3 linked regions of the Neodiprion lecontei genome follow. The protein of the gene in region 3 interacts with the protein of the main gene of each other region in a pairwise test. Links are inferred from orthologs where the notes say so. Each region holds a gene or a part of one and is shown on either strand. Other genes may lie near its edges. The genes, in order: breast cancer anti-estrogen resistance protein 3, leupaxin and breast cancer anti-estrogen resistance protein 1.

What was found.
Region 1: the proteins of breast cancer anti-estrogen resistance protein 1 (region 3) and breast cancer anti-estrogen resistance protein 3 interact in a two-hybrid assay, tested with the Drosophila melanogaster proteins (2 studies listed by BioGRID). The link is inferred for Neodiprion lecontei from reciprocal best matches to the Drosophila melanogaster genes p130CAS and CG9098.
Region 2: the proteins of breast cancer anti-estrogen resistance protein 1 (region 3) and leupaxin interact in a two-hybrid assay, tested with the Drosophila melanogaster proteins (2 studies listed by BioGRID). The link is inferred for Neodiprion lecontei from reciprocal best matches to the Drosophila melanogaster genes p130CAS and Pax.

Annotation. Positions count from the first base shown.
Region 1 is NC_060264.1:18,766,705-18,772,448, reverse strand, and holds the start of breast cancer anti-estrogen resistance protein 3, read right to left. Parts: upstream 3,447-5,744; 5' UTR 3,239-3,446; coding exon 3,196-3,238; intron 1-3,195.
Region 2 is NC_060264.1:9,647,561-9,653,429, forward strand, and holds the start of leupaxin, read right to left. Parts: upstream 3,298-5,869; 5' UTR 3,090-3,297; coding exon 2,978-3,089; intron 1-2,977.
Region 3 is NC_060261.1:18,409,618-18,415,071, forward strand, and holds the start of breast cancer anti-estrogen resistance protein 1, read left to right. Parts: upstream 1-2,130; 5' UTR 2,131-2,915; coding exon 2,916-2,972; intron 2,973-5,454.

The sequences.
Region 1 (5,744 bases), on a different chromosome or scaffold from region 3:
TGAGTTGAAAAGAGTACGAATTAAACAGTTTTTTTCACAGTGAAAAATGTACACATTTCTGAGAAGTATTATTTTGCAATCACCGCATGTGTGAGAAACGAAACTGTAAGCCATTTAATCTTGAATCCAGATTGCAAATTTGAATGTGGTAGATTATTCGAAGTTCAAGTTTTTAGCGTAAGTCAAATTTGAAACAAAACAAAAAAAACAACAAACAAAAAAGCGTTTTTAACATTTTTTTATATTGCATTGCGACTTGCCAATGGAATAATAGAATTTCTATCAATACGAGAATTATGATTCTGAATTTTGAGGAACATTTGAAATTTAGTTTAAAATCTTAAGTATACTACGTTTTCGAGTTTTATCTGTTAGGAGAAAAAAGGAAGAAAAACAGGAAACGACCAAAAAATCTGTTTCTACGATATATTAAATCTCGTAATTTTGCTTCAGAAATTGATTAGAGGCAACAGCAACAGATAATATAAATATAACGTTTTAGACACAATTCTGCAATTCATTTCCATCCGTTTGCCACACCAGTTATTTGATTCTGGATCCAACTCAAATAGATTCGATTATATAAGGTTCACATTTGATTGCATACCTAGAATTGACAATTTTGAAAAAGGTATTACGTTTACTGAAATAAATATACGTACATCGTTGATATTATTTATTTCTATTATTAATTATTTGATTATTATTCAATCATTTTCCAAGATTTAGATTTAGATCCCTGGATAAGTAATAAACTTCTTTTTCAAATTTACGAAGTCGTTTCAGTTTTTCATCGCGTGCAGAACCTGAAGTTATGTTATGACTGATTTGAAAATCTGTACTGAAATTTATCATCTGCGCTACCTACGTCAACAACTAGACTACTTCGCAGTTTTTATGAACACTAGTGCTCAGAAGTAGATTTTTTAACACTAGTACTTATAAAAACTACACAATATTTTCGTTTTCAACAAGAGATAGCATAGTAAATAGGATTTGTGGCACGTGCGCATTAGGGTGACCGTTCTTTAGAGTGTTGACGAATTTTTTCCGTACCACCCCTCAAATCAACTTTAAATAATTCAAAACAGATTCTCAAATTTTTTCACATTTTTAACTCAATTCTAACCCCCCCCCCCCCCCCCCCCCCCCCTCCAAAGAGGGTGCATTTCCCCATTTAAAATACACGTGTTTCGGATACATTCTTAGCATATATTTTATTGTAAAAATAAAAATGGTAAAAAAAAATTTGTAACCACGAGGTTTTAGTGGACATTAGTGCTACTATCTGAGAAAAAATTCAAATCATCATACCATGCAATTTCGACAAATTACACGCCCTTGAAATCTGACTTTTTTCCATTTAGAGGAATTGCAATTTGTCTAGTTTACCTGGTATAACGATGTGAATTTTTTCTCAGATAGTAGCACTACTGCCCACTAAAACTTCGTAGTTACAGATTTTTTTCATCATTATTACGCTTACAATAAAATGTATGCTAAGAATGTGTCCGAAACACGTGTATCTTAAATAGGGAATTCCACCTGTTTGGGTGGCGGGTTAGAGTTGAGTTAAGAATCTGCAAAAATTTGGGGATCTTTATTGAATTATTTAAACTTGATTTGGGGGCAGTATGGAAAAAATTCGTCAACACCGTAAATAATGGTCACCCTAGCGTGCATATAGGGACTTCATAACTCGTGTGAGTTTGGCATTCACCTTTTATGGCTCGTGCGGGACTTTATACTCGTCAAGAAATCTTTTGCGTCATAGTAGGCGTAAAGCGGGATTTTACGCCCGCGAAGTGGACCGGTAAATCCCGTTTACGCCTACGTAGGACGAAAAATATTGTTCGCATCACGGGCATGATACTTTACACCCTAGGTAAGAAAATAGCTTAATTTTATGCGCACTTGCCACGAAAAGATCTATTTCGTACGACAAATTCTATTTTCTGTGCTAACTTCCGTCAAAAACGCGAATATTGTGTAGTTTTTATAAGCACTAGTGCTCATAAAAACTACAAAGTAGTCGAGTTGCTGACGGAAGTAGCGCAGAAATAACTATTTTAATTTGGGTTTTGGTCTACAAATTTCGGACGTCAATTCGTTTCAAAGTTTGAATAATTGGATTTTGCCATTTTATCAACAATTCTTTATTTCGTTCTGAAACTGTTTTCGTGCTAATATTTCAGTTTCCTAAAATCGAGTTCAAATATGCGCCTTTCTCTTCCTCGTTTGACAACTAAGCCATTTATCTGCATTCGAACTGTACAGTTATTGGTTGTAGAAAGTATCATACCTCACATCGCGGAGACACGTGGTAGCCAAAATTACTGACGTGCGTCTATCATAAGACAGTGGGTTCAGTATCCAAGTTTGTACATTTTTTCTCCGAGTCAATTTTGCTGTTCTAAAATATGATTGTTCTCTGTCGCCAGCGATTTAATTGCTGCGCTCGAATTGGTTGCAAAATTTTTTATACAAACATGTATAATATTAGGTAATATGTGCAACGTCAGTGAAAAAATTATTACGCTACGCAGGCCTGCATGTATGACGGAATAGTAATGAAGCGCGGCGATACGGCTTCAAAACAATGCTCAACATATATATATAAACAACGTTGCTGTACATGTTCATCTGCATTTAAGTGCACGACTAGCACAACATCTGGCTATATGATAAAAAAGCGTAACACCATAATGTAAGATCACGCGTATAAGTAAACCCTATAAACAGTACAATACATGTTAGTTACGCGTTATAGGTATGTGTAGGCGTGAATATAACGAAACACTGATAACCAACGTCGTCGACAGTGCAGCGAGTAGAGATAAAAGTTGTATTGTAGCGCGGTGCACAACTCACCTTTTCATTCGTTATTGTATACTTTAAATGGGAGTTTGTATTACGTGTATTACACCCGACGGACGACAATAATTAAGCATGTATAATAATATGTTTGCATATAGATTTCTATCTACGTTGTAATTTCCGCGGGTGGTGCAAGCGCAAGTATTATATAATAAATGAAATTCCAAAATTCATAATCAAGGGTGTTGTATTCAATACGTGACATGTTTGTGATGATAAAAATAATAAAAAAAAAAAAAAAAAAAAAACGAAATGAAAATCGAACGTGAAACAAAAATCGTATTAGACAAATGAATAAACAAACGATGATCGACTAACTTTGGCTGCGACGCGATTTGAGCTTGCTTGCGGTTTTCCCCATGTTTTCTGTGACGTCAGCGCGGGATTGATCAGTTGCGGGTAAAACGTGAATCGGCGGGCGGTGTTGCAGCAGGGTTAAATGACGCGGATCCACTCTACCCGGACACACTTGTTGAATAGGAAGGTGCAATGCGATTACACAAGCTGACCGCGTGGCTCAGCGCGGCGCTGCGCTCTGTCCGCTCCGAAGCATAACGCGACACTGTGCGAGCCAATGTAACGTGAACGTCACGAAGGATTGAGAAGCGTCGTTGATAGGAATGTAGGGGAACGCGTGAGAAAGAGAGAAGGAGAAGGAGATTGTGAACATAACCCCAGATTGGGACCGACTTATGGGGTGTGGTGTGAGCGGAGAGAGAGAGAGAAAGAGAGAGAGAAGACCAGGCGATAGCTTCAGGCCCCCGCAAACATGCCGCCATGCCGACATGGGTGTGTGTTAATATTGTACGTGAACATATGTACACACAGCTTGCTGCTGCTGTTGTTGCTGCTGAAGAAGAAGAAGAAGAAGAAGAAGAGACGAGGACAAACTGATGCGGTGATGATAGTGGGTTGTTTAAGAGGATGCTGTAGTGTCTCTTCATCGACCGTGTCGAATGTCACTTATTTTTACTATTAATTATCAAAGCCCGATGTATCGCTCGTGTAAAAATACCGTAGTGAGCGCGATTCTACATGCAATGCCGAGTACGTATGTACAAAAAAAAAAAGGTTTTGTCTTATGCAACAATAATGCCAATGAATTGTATTTCTGTAACTGAATTACCACTTGTGGCAGAAACGAATTTCCTCGAATAATTTTCGTATGCAGTGAAAATGTTTTTCGATAGTTTCGATCGGCATTGCATGTAGAATTGCGCCGATTGCGGCACTTTCGCATAATAGTTAAGAGAAGTGAAATTTTACTCGATCGGTAAGTACTGACTATAGCATCCTCTTAAGGAAGTTGTACAACTGAGGATCGATACTAGTTTGGTATAATTTTATAACAAGACAGTCGCACTTCGACTGCATGTCAGATTATTACATTCGTACAACTCGAAAAACGACTAAAATTAGGAATAAGAGCTTTCGAATCGTTATTTTTTTAAATTTTAAACCGTTTCGAAATGATGAGAAATTTGGTGGAATCGTTCTGTACTATCACTCCACAACTGTTGATTTTGGTTAGATATAAACGTTTTTTTAGAAATTCGACAGAAGCGATATATTTTTCACTTAATAGTCAACTCAATCAGTATTGCTGTTTGTTATCGAAATCACTGCAACACGGAAAAATTAAAAATTTAACGACACCAATCTGATAAGAAACAAAGAAGAAATTGTCATGATGGGAACGTGAAGAATCATCTTCTGAATAAAACCAACCATCACGTAAATTGAATTTAAGTGAATTTATGATATGTTTCACCGTTTTACAGCGGTTAAAGATCACCAAAATCGACATCAAAGCTTTTGTTCGTAATTTTGGTCTGTTTCTTTGCATTCATATATAGGAAACACCTTTGCTTGCGAATTTAATGATTTGAAAAATACTATCTTGCGTTAAAAGTACCAAAAGAATATTGATTTTCAACTGTATAATCTGCTCAATAGCGCATACAGAAGGTCGACCATATTGCAGCTGGTAGGCACTGATGACAAACATTAAAATTTAACTGGATAGTAGCAGACAACGATGGCTTTCGTTTATCATCGTATTCTAGCGAAGTGTAGACACTGTGTTTGTGTTGCGCTGCGTGTGTGTTATATTTGGTTTGCATATATATTATGCTGGCGTTGTTGGCTTCGCCTCATTGATCGACGACACTTTTTTTAGGCGTGGGCAACTCGTGCTGCAGGTTATCGATTTCTTTGAAACGTAGCAATTTATTGAGTGTTACGTGTAATGATACTATTTAGGATAATGATGATTATGCAGGTGACGAGGAACTGGAGAATTGCGAAAAGACGTCCGATACAACGAGATATATTTATTAATCCCAAAATCTGAATAATGGCTTTGGTGATGAATAAGCCCTCAATATCTGAAAGTTAAAACGCTCAAAATGATAAAAATTCGGGTGTTTTCCATACGACTTTATGATTTGATTTGAATAGTTTTCACTGACAATATTTTCATTTAGTTATACTTAATTTTTATACAGTGAACAACATTCTGCGTAAATTAAACTATAACATAGAAACAATACAAAAACTGTACCAGAGTATGTAAAAATTCTGTAAAAAAGTAATAAAGCAACAAAAATTACAACACGATCATAGTTTTGAGAAAATATGTAAAGATGCATGCCTTATGCGTTCCCTATGAATTTGTCAATTTCGAACAATCATGCTTATATAGTTGTAATCTTCAGATACTCTTTGAATTGAGTGACCGCAGCATGTGAAATCGCCTTTTCAGGAAGTCTTCGTTATCAACAAAAACAACATCGATGACAACCATGAGTTTGTCTTATCTTGTGTAAATTATTCTGACTTTCAATTAAGCGTAAGATCAACACTTT
Region 2 (5,869 bases), on a different chromosome or scaffold from region 3:
ATTAAAATCAATTTCATTTCGCGTCAAGAAAAAGAAGAAAGGAATCTTAATTTTTTCAGTAGGTTATATAATTAGTTTTGTCATATGTTTAATTTTCTGGCATAAAATTGATTTTGATTTTTTATGTTTAGATCAATCTGAAAAAATAGTCGCTGAAAGAACGATGAATGCCGTTATACATTCAACCGTCTTTCTTGTTGTAGTTTGGAAATGATCAACATAATTGTGCTTGTTCGGCATATGTCAGCGAATAATTCCTGGTTATGCATATTCAAAGAATGTCAGCAGATTGCGTTATAGAAAGCAATGCGTCAAGCTGCAAGCCGCTTGAGAAATTGGCATATTAAGGATACTTTTATTGTAAGAATATATTAATCAGCTATTGCAAGATCTTTCAAATAAAATAATATGAAAAAGTTCGCATTTTCTCATTATTTTTCGTAAAATTAAGACTAAAATCCCAGTTTGTTACAATTAGAGGTGAAAATATTTCTATCTCTAATTCAGAATCTATCTAATTGTAATTTTGTTTTCTGTGAAGTAATTAATCAAGTTTAACTTGTACCGAAACCGTCGAAAGAATTGAATGATTTTTTCATTGAGTAAATAAAATGCTCAATTACTTACTGCGTAAAACGTACCTTTAACAATTACTTAGGTAATCAGAGCATTTATACTTGTATCATCATATCTGAAAATTGGTATTATTCATATATAGAATAAATTGAAGATACGCTTTTTTTAATTCTTGCAGGTTCATTTTTTTGAATCGCTACATTTGCATTGAGGTTTTATTAGCTTTCTCATAATTATCTCAAGAAAATTTACGTGCAAGCAATGTAGTAAATAACAATTGTTATGAAGTTAAGAATATGTAAATCACAAAAATATGTAATAACACATTGAACGTCGATGTAGTAAAACTTCATTTATACGTTTCTCAAGAGGTATATCATATTTTATAAAATATTAGCATGTTTGTACATGTACAAAAATATACGAAATGTACAGATACATGTACGAAATACGTATCAAATTTGTGGTATTTTGTAAAAAAAATGTTGTAATAAAGAAACGATATCATTTAAATGATTAATCAAAAACTTCATAACTCCGAAGCTAGATGTATCGGAATATTCGATTTAGTCTTGACAATTTTGTTTTACATGTATAATCTTGTGTGAAAATTTAATCAGAATTGATTACGGAACTTTTGAGAAAACGTTGATTTTCGATCTTTGGGCGGTAGACATAGAAAATATTAAAAAGCATACCTCGAACGAAAAACTGACCTGTGATTAAGAGAAAAATGGGCTAAAGGAGTGTAGCGACAAATGTCACCGTCTAAGTGCAAACCTAACGAAGGACGTAGTACGTAATATTCATTTCTGGGTTTCCCAGTGGTTGATTATTTTTTGGAATCAAAACCGGAACGGGTTTCCTTTCTAAGTAAATTTTATATGCAAATGACTAACGACGTAAGTAACAGGAAAAACAAACGATACATTGATCAATAGGCACATAAAATTTTTATAAAAAGAAACATGTTTCGGTTTGATTACAAAAAAAGAAATAGTCAACCACTTGGAAACCATTAATGAACATTACTCAAGCGAAATGCTTCTAGATAATTTGTAGCCAAAAACTGTCAAGATCAAAAACATTTGACGTTGGCATACAAGAGTGAAAAACATATAAATAAAATCTTAAATCATCATACTTGAAAGTGAAGTTTTGCCAGTGAATGGAGTAAATTCATTTCGAGCAACAATAAAGCGTTTCAAAAATACTTCTTCCATAATCTTGCGATGTGGAACGATGCAGTCGAGATATGCACAACATTCTATTCTGTTACGCATTTTGTGGCACGCGCGTGGATCGTACATATCGTGTCCGTGGATTCATACGTATAAGTATATATTCTCTCTTGAATTCCTGACTCTTAATGCAACAAAACTACTACAGAGATCCCGTGCACTGTAATCCGTTATACTCGCGAAGAACATCCTGCCTGTAAGTCTATGATTTATACTCATCCTCTGCACCGCGGTATAATGTAAATGCGCTGCAAATGATGATATACTCTGCAGGTACCAACGCTTAAGAGATTTAATTTATTTCGTGGATTAAGAAATAGTATTTATCGCAGATTAAACACGCGTGCAGTTTCCATCCTTGGTAAAGTTTGTCTATTCGGTTTATTCGCACTCTAAGTCGGAAAAAGTGACGTCACATCACGGACTAATCCACATTCAAGAACCTTGAATTTGCTACTTATTCGAGCATGTATCGATGGTTCAAGTTACCCAATAACCCTTGCGACAAACTGTACCTTTAACCTCAACACCAGAGCGTCGATGACGTCAGCCGCAGCGTCAACCGAGTCGCGACTGCCGTGATTTCTGATCGAAACGTAAGGAATCTGATATAATATTGAAGTTAGTCACGTTGTTGTAACGATTGTATGCGATAAGCAAGTCGTTATTTCGAAATTTCGAATTCCGCTTTCCCTCTGAAATTCAATAAACCGTACTAGCATATGAAAACATACTAATCTACTTATTTTGAAAACTTGCCTCCCTTCAAATCATTCCAATAGAGTTTTCAATTGACTGCACTGAATGCATCGAGTGTGAATTTCCCCGGATTTCACTTTTACTATTTGTCGAAAACTGAAGAACTGACATGTAGTACACACTGATTGTGAGTGCAGCCCGTTAAAAACCCTATAAGATCGTAAACTAGTGAATTTTTTCTCAAACCTACGTTACCAAATAGCGTTTTTCACTAGCTGTATTCGGTGTGCATTGAGTGCAATATTCCCAGCTTCGAAGGAAAAACAGAAGCGAAATCCTAGGAAAATCGCACTCAGTGGGCACTGCATTTAGCTAGTGAAAAATTCTACTACTTCAACCTTGAAAATCACAAATACGAGGGACGAATGGTCGGGGGATCTTGAGACGAATTGGATTCTCACCGAGGCTTACGAGGTTGCTCGAGGCCCCGTTGCGGGCCCTCTGAGGATCGTAGACCTCGTAAAGGTCGTTACTGTCGGTCGACCTCCTGGCGTAGGCGCACTGACTGTCCATTTTTACGAGGTGAAGAAAACGGTACGCACCAACTTATTTCGCGAGTAAATATCACCGGCAAACCACCTTTGCGTTCGAATGGAGAAAAGGGGGGAGGCTGGATTAGGGTCTAGTAACTGGGTCTTTTCGACTGTGCAATTTATATACTCCAAACGTGCGCGGTAATATATTTGTACAATATTCTGGCGCCGTTCGTAGACAGCGGAGTTGAGTGGGACCGACCGACCAACTGACTGACTGACTGTGAATTGCTTGCTCTGACGAGAAGGTCGCCGGTCGGCCATTCGCCGATTGCGTTGGGACTCTATGGGCTTCCGCGAAGCGTTCCCTCGAGGAGGTGGAGGAAAGGCTGTCGCCTTCTCCGTCGCCCGACGCGGTTCACAGGGGGAGGGGGGTGAGCGGGCGGGGGGGGGGGGAGGTGGAAACGTGTAAGCGGCGGAGGACTCGTCGCGGCATCGCATCGTCTGGAAAAATGAAGGGGGGGGGGGGGGGGGGGACTCCAGCGTGACGAAATTTTTCTGTAATCTCCGGTGCACGACGAACGCGCGCCTCCAGAGCTTCGTTATCTCGGGTCTTTCGCCCCACTTCACGCGGAATCGCGTTGTCAGTTCCAAAAACTGTTTTATACCTAGTATATTGTACGTATGTATGGGGTAGAGTTGGAACGAAGAAAGGCGGGGATTCATGTTTTGTTGAGGATATTGTGAAGATCGAGGAGACGCTTTTGAAATTCAGGATCAGAATTACCCTGTCGGTCAGTTATTTTTATAAACGATCGATGAAAAATGGAGGTCTTGGTAATAAAAGGTATAAAAGAACTAAGGTGATGAAAATTTCAGAATTCTCTTAAGTGAGTGTAAACAAAATGGCGGGGGTGAATGCTATCTACATTTTTTTCATACTTTTTCACGGTTTTGATTCTCAGTTTTAATCAATTCCGACGCCCAGATAGATGGAATAACTATAAAATAAACTTGTAAAATGCGAAAAATATCGAAGTCGCATTTTCAAAATTTATTGCTCTCATCGATTATGTCGCTCTGGTTCTCTCTCTTATTTGAACGGAAATTCATGAACTACCAAGTCTGTAAATTTTATTACTGATAATGCACGCGAAAAATAATATACCTAATAATTTTATTTCATCCGCAAGTATCCGCGATTCATCATTGTATACGACTTCATTGTGACTATTTGCTGTACATTTGATACGTTCTGCAGAAAAGATTGATGCGTAGCTGTCAAGAGTACGACGTTCCAACGTAGCTTATTGCATACTTTCGGAACGTGAATGAGCTTTAAGCTTTGGCTAAAAGCCCAGAGGTTAATTTTGTTTAATTTTTTTTGTAACGTTTAGTTTGGTTTTTGCGCGCGTTCAAATCTATTTTATGACTCGTGAATCATTGCGTGAATGGTTTCTAAACCAACGCAGCAGCAATATTGATTACATAGATTGATAAACCGAACGAGATAATAAATTTTCAACCTCTCTGCATACAAATATAATGCATTATATAATATTACATGTCACTTTAAATAGAGTTCACGTACATCTCAGATTTCCTACCAATTAACCAATTGTCACTTGACGACGTGAAATCCCATAACGTATAATCAACGTATAACGTTAATTGTGCTATTTTTACTTACTAATATAACGCTCCCAGCGTTTATGCCGCTCCAGAGTGGCCGAACGGGCAGGCGTAATTGGGGACATCGGTCTCACAGAGGTACTCGTCATTTTCACAATCAGTCAATTTATTACAAAAAAATACACTTCACCGTATACCACTTACAGCTCTGTGTCTATAAAAAAGAGATTTCCGGACGTTGAAAAATCTAACCCAGTGATTCTTATAAGGTAATTATTACCCAAAGTTATTCAGTCCATTTATCCAAGCCCGATGCTTGATGGCGACTCAATAACAATTTCGACCACATAAGATTTACTGATAACTGAACTATGTAACAAGATTTAATTTCGATTCCAGAATGGAGGCACAATTCAAGCCTGAATAGAAAATCAAAATAAAAAAAATGAATGTTCTAATCACTTAAGAGAATTGTGGGTACCATCATTTCGAGAGTCAACGACTATCCAAGATGTATATTTTTTGAACCCTTAAAATCCCTAATTGAGAAACTTGTAAGACCTCTGTTGTCTGTTGTCCGCAAAATCGATACTGTATATGTCGCGTGATAATCAGAATATCAGATCTAAGCGTGACGTTTCAAAAACTTTTTATTTTCATACACTCCTGCGAACTTAGGCGCGGGCTCAAATCGATCAACTCAAAGGTGACAAATTGGTCACTCGAGTTGCGAGATAAATTCCACGCAGGGTCAAAGATAACCAAGTAAATTTCTTCTTTCTCTAAAACGTGTTGAAGATACACTTTCAGAACGATTTTTATTCAGTATTTACGCACATTGAATGTTTCGTTTTTTAATGTATCGTTAAAAACAATTTTATACAGCGTTGAAAAAACTGATTTTTGTAAACAACAAAGCTGTTTTAAATGGATACGCAGCCCTAGTTTCACATATTAAAATCCAAATCCAAAATCGACCCTTGTTAGTGGATTCAAAACACCAAAGAAACGACACTGTAGTGATATCTTTATCAGCATTGATGTTACAGGGGTGAAAAACTACAAAATGCGCGTGTCACGATCACAAGCCAACTCGGCCTGACCCATTGCACGAATCTTTGAAGTAAAGAGCCGATAATTGAAGGTGTGCCAGAGATAGATGAAAAAAGATAACAGGTCCGATCGATT
Region 3 (5,454 bases):
TTTGAAAGATATAAAAAGAAAGAGAGGCAAAGTATAGACGTACGCTGTGAGAGAGCGCGCTGCGGCCCAAAGTATAGTTGTACGCTGTAGGAGAGAGAAAGAGGGGCGAAGTATAGTCGTGCGCTGTGAGTGAGAGAGACCGCTGCTGCCGTCTCCCACCCCAAGCGCTGAGACAGAGAGAGAGAGCGCGCGCACACGCTGGAATAGAGAGAGAGAGAGAGAGAGGGAGATCGCGCGCACTATAGCAAACGAGCACTATAGCCAAAAAGTGTCGGTTTTTTGGTGTCGTTTTTTTCCGCCTAGCCCCTACGGTGAACGAGCGATAAGGAACTTCGTTCCAAAAAAAAAAAAATTTTACACTAGGATGATCCCTTAACATCCAAAAGGTGTGTTCTTTATTTAGCTACCGAGCTACCGTTGGATGCGCTTGAAGATTTAAATATAGATTAGTGCGCAAAAAATTCAAGTATCTCTGTGTCATACATTTTGGATTAGCTGCACCAACAAAACTGGAAAAATTTAGTTATAGTGTACTTTGTTCAAAAAGATGTTTTAGACGAGTCGTCACTCGACCTCCCTCGTTATTCATGATTTTTATCTTACCAGAAGTATCAATTGATTCTTAGACAGCGTAATTTTGGATGGAATGAAGGAGTGAGAGGGTATTATAGGCATTCAATTTGAATCACAATAGCAATGAAAAAAAAAAAACATAAAATTACTCTGGGCGGCCAAATCTCATTTTGTGTAATACAACTATTGTAATACAACGCTACATGCTGTTTACTTTGATTTCCTTGTAATTATTTCGTATGTCTGGGAAACTGAATTAATCTTACTGTCCCACGTTTACTTTGCTTATCTTAAAATAAATCATGTTAAATATAAGTATTGGTTGGCACAGTATCATTTATGTATAAAAGATGCTAGTTTTAATGAAATGCGTGAGAATAATTAATGTCAATGTTTGTGATGTCCGAATATTTTTTTTTCTACTCATTTCAAGTAAAAAATCGATTCGAAGATCGGCCAAAATGGACTTATTTCAATTTAATTGAATTGATTCTTATACTGATTTATTCATACATAATGCCCGTTCAATTTCATCTTTCATTTACTTACTTTGTTCAATATTGACAGCTTTCTTCAAATTCATTAATCGCTGAAATAGATCCATTTCACAATATTGTCAGTCGAAGACTCTTAAAAATTGAAATTAATTAACGTTCCGCAATACATTGGCATTCTAAACTTTACACGTATAAACTACGTAATCACTATTTTCAAAACTACTTTTCATTACCTTTTGTGATATAAGAGAAGTATTGGTGGCGGTCGAAAATAACTTTTTATAATTTTAACGAACTTTTACATTTTCGAACCTCTAGAATCCGAAAAACAGGTTCTTAGAAAAATTTCTGTCGATTTTTCTACTTTTTATGGTGATAAAAAGTGTTGCGAAAAAAAAAAAAAAAAAAAATAATCGGACACGAGTCAATTGATTCTGTGAAAATGAATCGGTTAATCGATTATGTTGTATTTTTTTGAAACATTGAATATCAAACCAAAATTTTGTAAATTTCAGCATATAGTCTTAATAGCGGAAAAGTTTTTTGATAATTTATAAATGCATTTAAAATATTTTTCAATTTCAGGTGAAAATATTAATTCATCTTTCACTTATTATATCAAAAAGGTACTCAGTGAGCAAGCAAATGACAATAATTAATACTCCAATCACATAAATTGATAGTGTATTACGTCGTTAATGAGAGTACGAAAAAAAAGGACCGAAACCGATTGTGAGGAAAAATAATCGAGTCGGTCGATTAATCGAGATTGAAAAAAAAAATAATGGATTTAATCTAAAATCGATTACATCTGGTCATTCTTAATACATACCGGGACAATCTCTTGAAACTTGAAAATCAACTGCGCGTGCGCGAGTTTTATCGGCTGTTCGCGCAGGCTGGCGATCCCGAGTTTCAGCTGTCAAACTGTTTCAGGCAGCGATGTAGTTGATACGAGTTAACGAGGTTAGAATCTCAAATAAGTGAGGCAGTGGCTCGGAAAGGATTGGGAAGCATTTGTTATTGGGTCGGAAAGTTGATTCTTCAAAGAACGGTCGGAATTTAATGCTTGAGCTCTTTGAAAATTCAAACGTACACATTTTGCGTAGGTTGGCCCGCCTGCGTCGCAGACATGAATATCGCTGCGCGAAGATTTTGCCGACCAATGAGATCAAATTATTTGGCACATGCGCGGTTGATTTTCAAGTTTCAAGAGATTGTCCCGGCATTCATACATATATGATTGTATTACGCTCGTCACAGACACCTTGCATCGACAAGGGTGCAGAGAAGGTTCGTCGTAGGCAATCGTGCGTTCTCGGCAAGCCTCGGGCCAACGGTTCCACCGCCCCGATTCGATTCGATTCGATTCTCCAGAGCCGCCAGTCTCGCGCACGACCTCCGGCGGTGAAGATGTCTCCGTCTCTTCCGCTCTCCGTTACTTTAATTTCGTGAAATTCCGGGTATTAACGGACACACAAACAGATCACAAAGCATCGAATCAGTGCAATTCAACACGCTGCCCGCTCCGCTTGAGCGTGAAATCGGTTGTTTTCTAAACAAGGTGGAAAACGGTGCAAATTGTTCGTCAGTTTTTACTCGTGTACACATGTGTTTGTGTTTTGACAGTTCAGTGAGGAAAACGGTATAGAATTTTAAGAAATAGTGCGTAAAATTGGAGTTCCGTTACATTTAAGTTCGAATATCAAAAGTGCGTGGATAATATTATAATTCGCCGATTGCCCGAGTGTGAACATCCATTCGGTTGCTATTTATCGCAGACCGCCTTAGGCGCAACAGCTTGTGTGCCGATATAGGCGAGCATCGACCAAACGACGACGGTAAATGAACGTGAAAATGTTACCGCAGACTCCTGACATCATTCCCACGTCTTTGAATCAGGTACTGTTCGCCACACATGCCTATGATCATCTTCTACCCAGTCGCTATCCTTCCTATCGCGACGGTCGTTAATACCGAATGACTCTCGCGTGGCGCGCTTTTGGTTCGAACGGGCATTTAAAAATTCAAAAATACCGCACCGCGTTCAAGGCGCACACGTCACGCGTAGTGCGCCTCGCCACGTATGTGGCACGCAGGTATATCCGTGGCGACGCAGATGATACGCGATGAAAGAACACATTGTTGTTTCGCTAGCTTATCTTATCAGACCTCTTTCATCATTCACCTACTTGACCTCGGCGTCGAATTTCTGATATACCTACTCGTACACCCACGATATTTATATCGGGCAAACACTGCTCTTGAGGTGTTTCAGCGTAATTGCGTAATTCGTCGTGATCGACTGAAAGTTTTTATAAAAGTCTATTTCATTTTTTCGTAAGCCATCGATTCGATTTGAAATCCTTGGTCGCATAATTTTTGATGGTAGGAAGTGCGGTCTGGTCAGCTAGGCTCGATAATTTTTCATATGAATCATTAGTCGAATAATTTGCAAAGTGCAACCTCCAAGCCTGTTTCGCAGCAAAATGATTATATGAAAAATCTATTATTATCTATTTTTAATCCTGGCTCACCAGAGCGCACTTTTCAACAACAGCATCATCATTTAACGAGAAATTCGGTATCGATTCAGAGTTTTACGAAAGAATGAGATGGATTCTTGTAAAAACTCGTTGCGGCGGGTGCCCTGGTCGACTTCGACGTTCACATGTATATCTCCGCGTCAAATGAAAATGAATTGGAATGTTTTCGTTCATAATTGCGTATAGAATGGGGCTGTTGAGCCTATTTTCGCGTTAAAGATACACGGACTTCGATATTTGGAGATATGCAACGTCGAAATCGACGAGGACAACCTCTGAGAGTATTCTATAGTCAGTCTTTACTGATCATAGGTTATTTTCACTTGAAATAAAAAAAAAAAGTATTTGGATATACTTTTGACAGGCATTGCATGTAGGGTTGTGCCGACTGCGGGCATTATCGGATCAATGCTGCCATCAAATAAGTGACATTTTATTCAGTCGGTAAAGACTGACTACAGTATACTCTTGAGTAAGAAATTTGCTGTTTTTATACGTTAATATGACTATCTGCGTAAATCTATAAGCTCCCCCTGTTTCTCACCTGTTTCATTCGGTTTATTTTCATTATAAAATATCCGATCATAAAGAACTTGTAACGAGTACAAATTTTTTCCTCCACTTGCATGATAAATTTACGCCTCATCCGCGATTACCAACTATTGTGTATACTGTGATATTCACTGTTGAAGATAGAACAGCTTCTGAGATTTTACGCGGAAAATCGTACAACATACACACACGCACACACCCACACGCACACATAGCATCGAACCCGTCACACGGTTATCCTCAGGTAGAACGAATAAACTATATATTTTCGGATTATAGGTTAGGTTAGGTTAGGTATGTTTTACGTGTGTCGAACTGCCTATACATATAGATACACGTACCTGTGAACGGTATCTGGGTAGGTTCGTTCTGCAAATCGATGGTTGGAAGTGGAATGATTGTATTCGGGCATCTAGCAGATGGTGAATTGCGTGTTGAGTTCGGTTGCACGTGGGTTGTGTGTATTTAGGCAATTTGTATAACGCGGTAGTTTGCCCGTGTCAGTCGTTCACGTCGACAAATCTCGCCAATTTGATAATATTTAACTACGCCACGCCGTATATCTGCTCTAGCAGTATTACAAAAAACATCATTCAAAAAAGAAAAAAGACGCGTGTGTGTGTATTGTACAGGGACTCGAATTTCGCCTGTGTCAAGGGTAAAGAGAAGGCGTTTCAATTGGCGCTCAAATCTAATAACTATTATCATCACCGCGTAAATGCGTCGTATTCAATCGTGGGATGACTTTTATCAGACTTCAACGTTTCTGTCTCATAGAATCGAAAGATGTATCGAGGTGGTTCACCCATCATGTTTATTGTTCAATTTTCGAATATGTGTAATCCAATGTGCCTGGCTTTATCTGCAAGAAATTTCAATGCCGCGGGTTCATATCAAACATTGCTACTGCGTTTTATTTATGGAAAGAGGTTTAATCTTCTTTTGGTCAGTGATTTATTGACAAAAATAAATTTTCGATCGGGACCCAGGCCGGTCGTCTTCGGGCTGCAGAATAATTATATTTTAATGTATGTTAAGACAAAGTATGAAAAAAAAAAGTTACAGACAAATCCGTAAAATGAAAGTTGGTTAATCAACGATTTACATATGTATGCAGTCACGTGACATATGAAACACTCTGTGCAACATTATATAAACAGATAAATTAACGCGGGAGAATATCTTAATTACTACCTAACTATGTCGTTTGACGCTGATTAGTGTTAATCGTTTTATTAAGCTGCCATGATGTGTTTATTTTAACTTTCATTTTTTTCCTCAGTTCC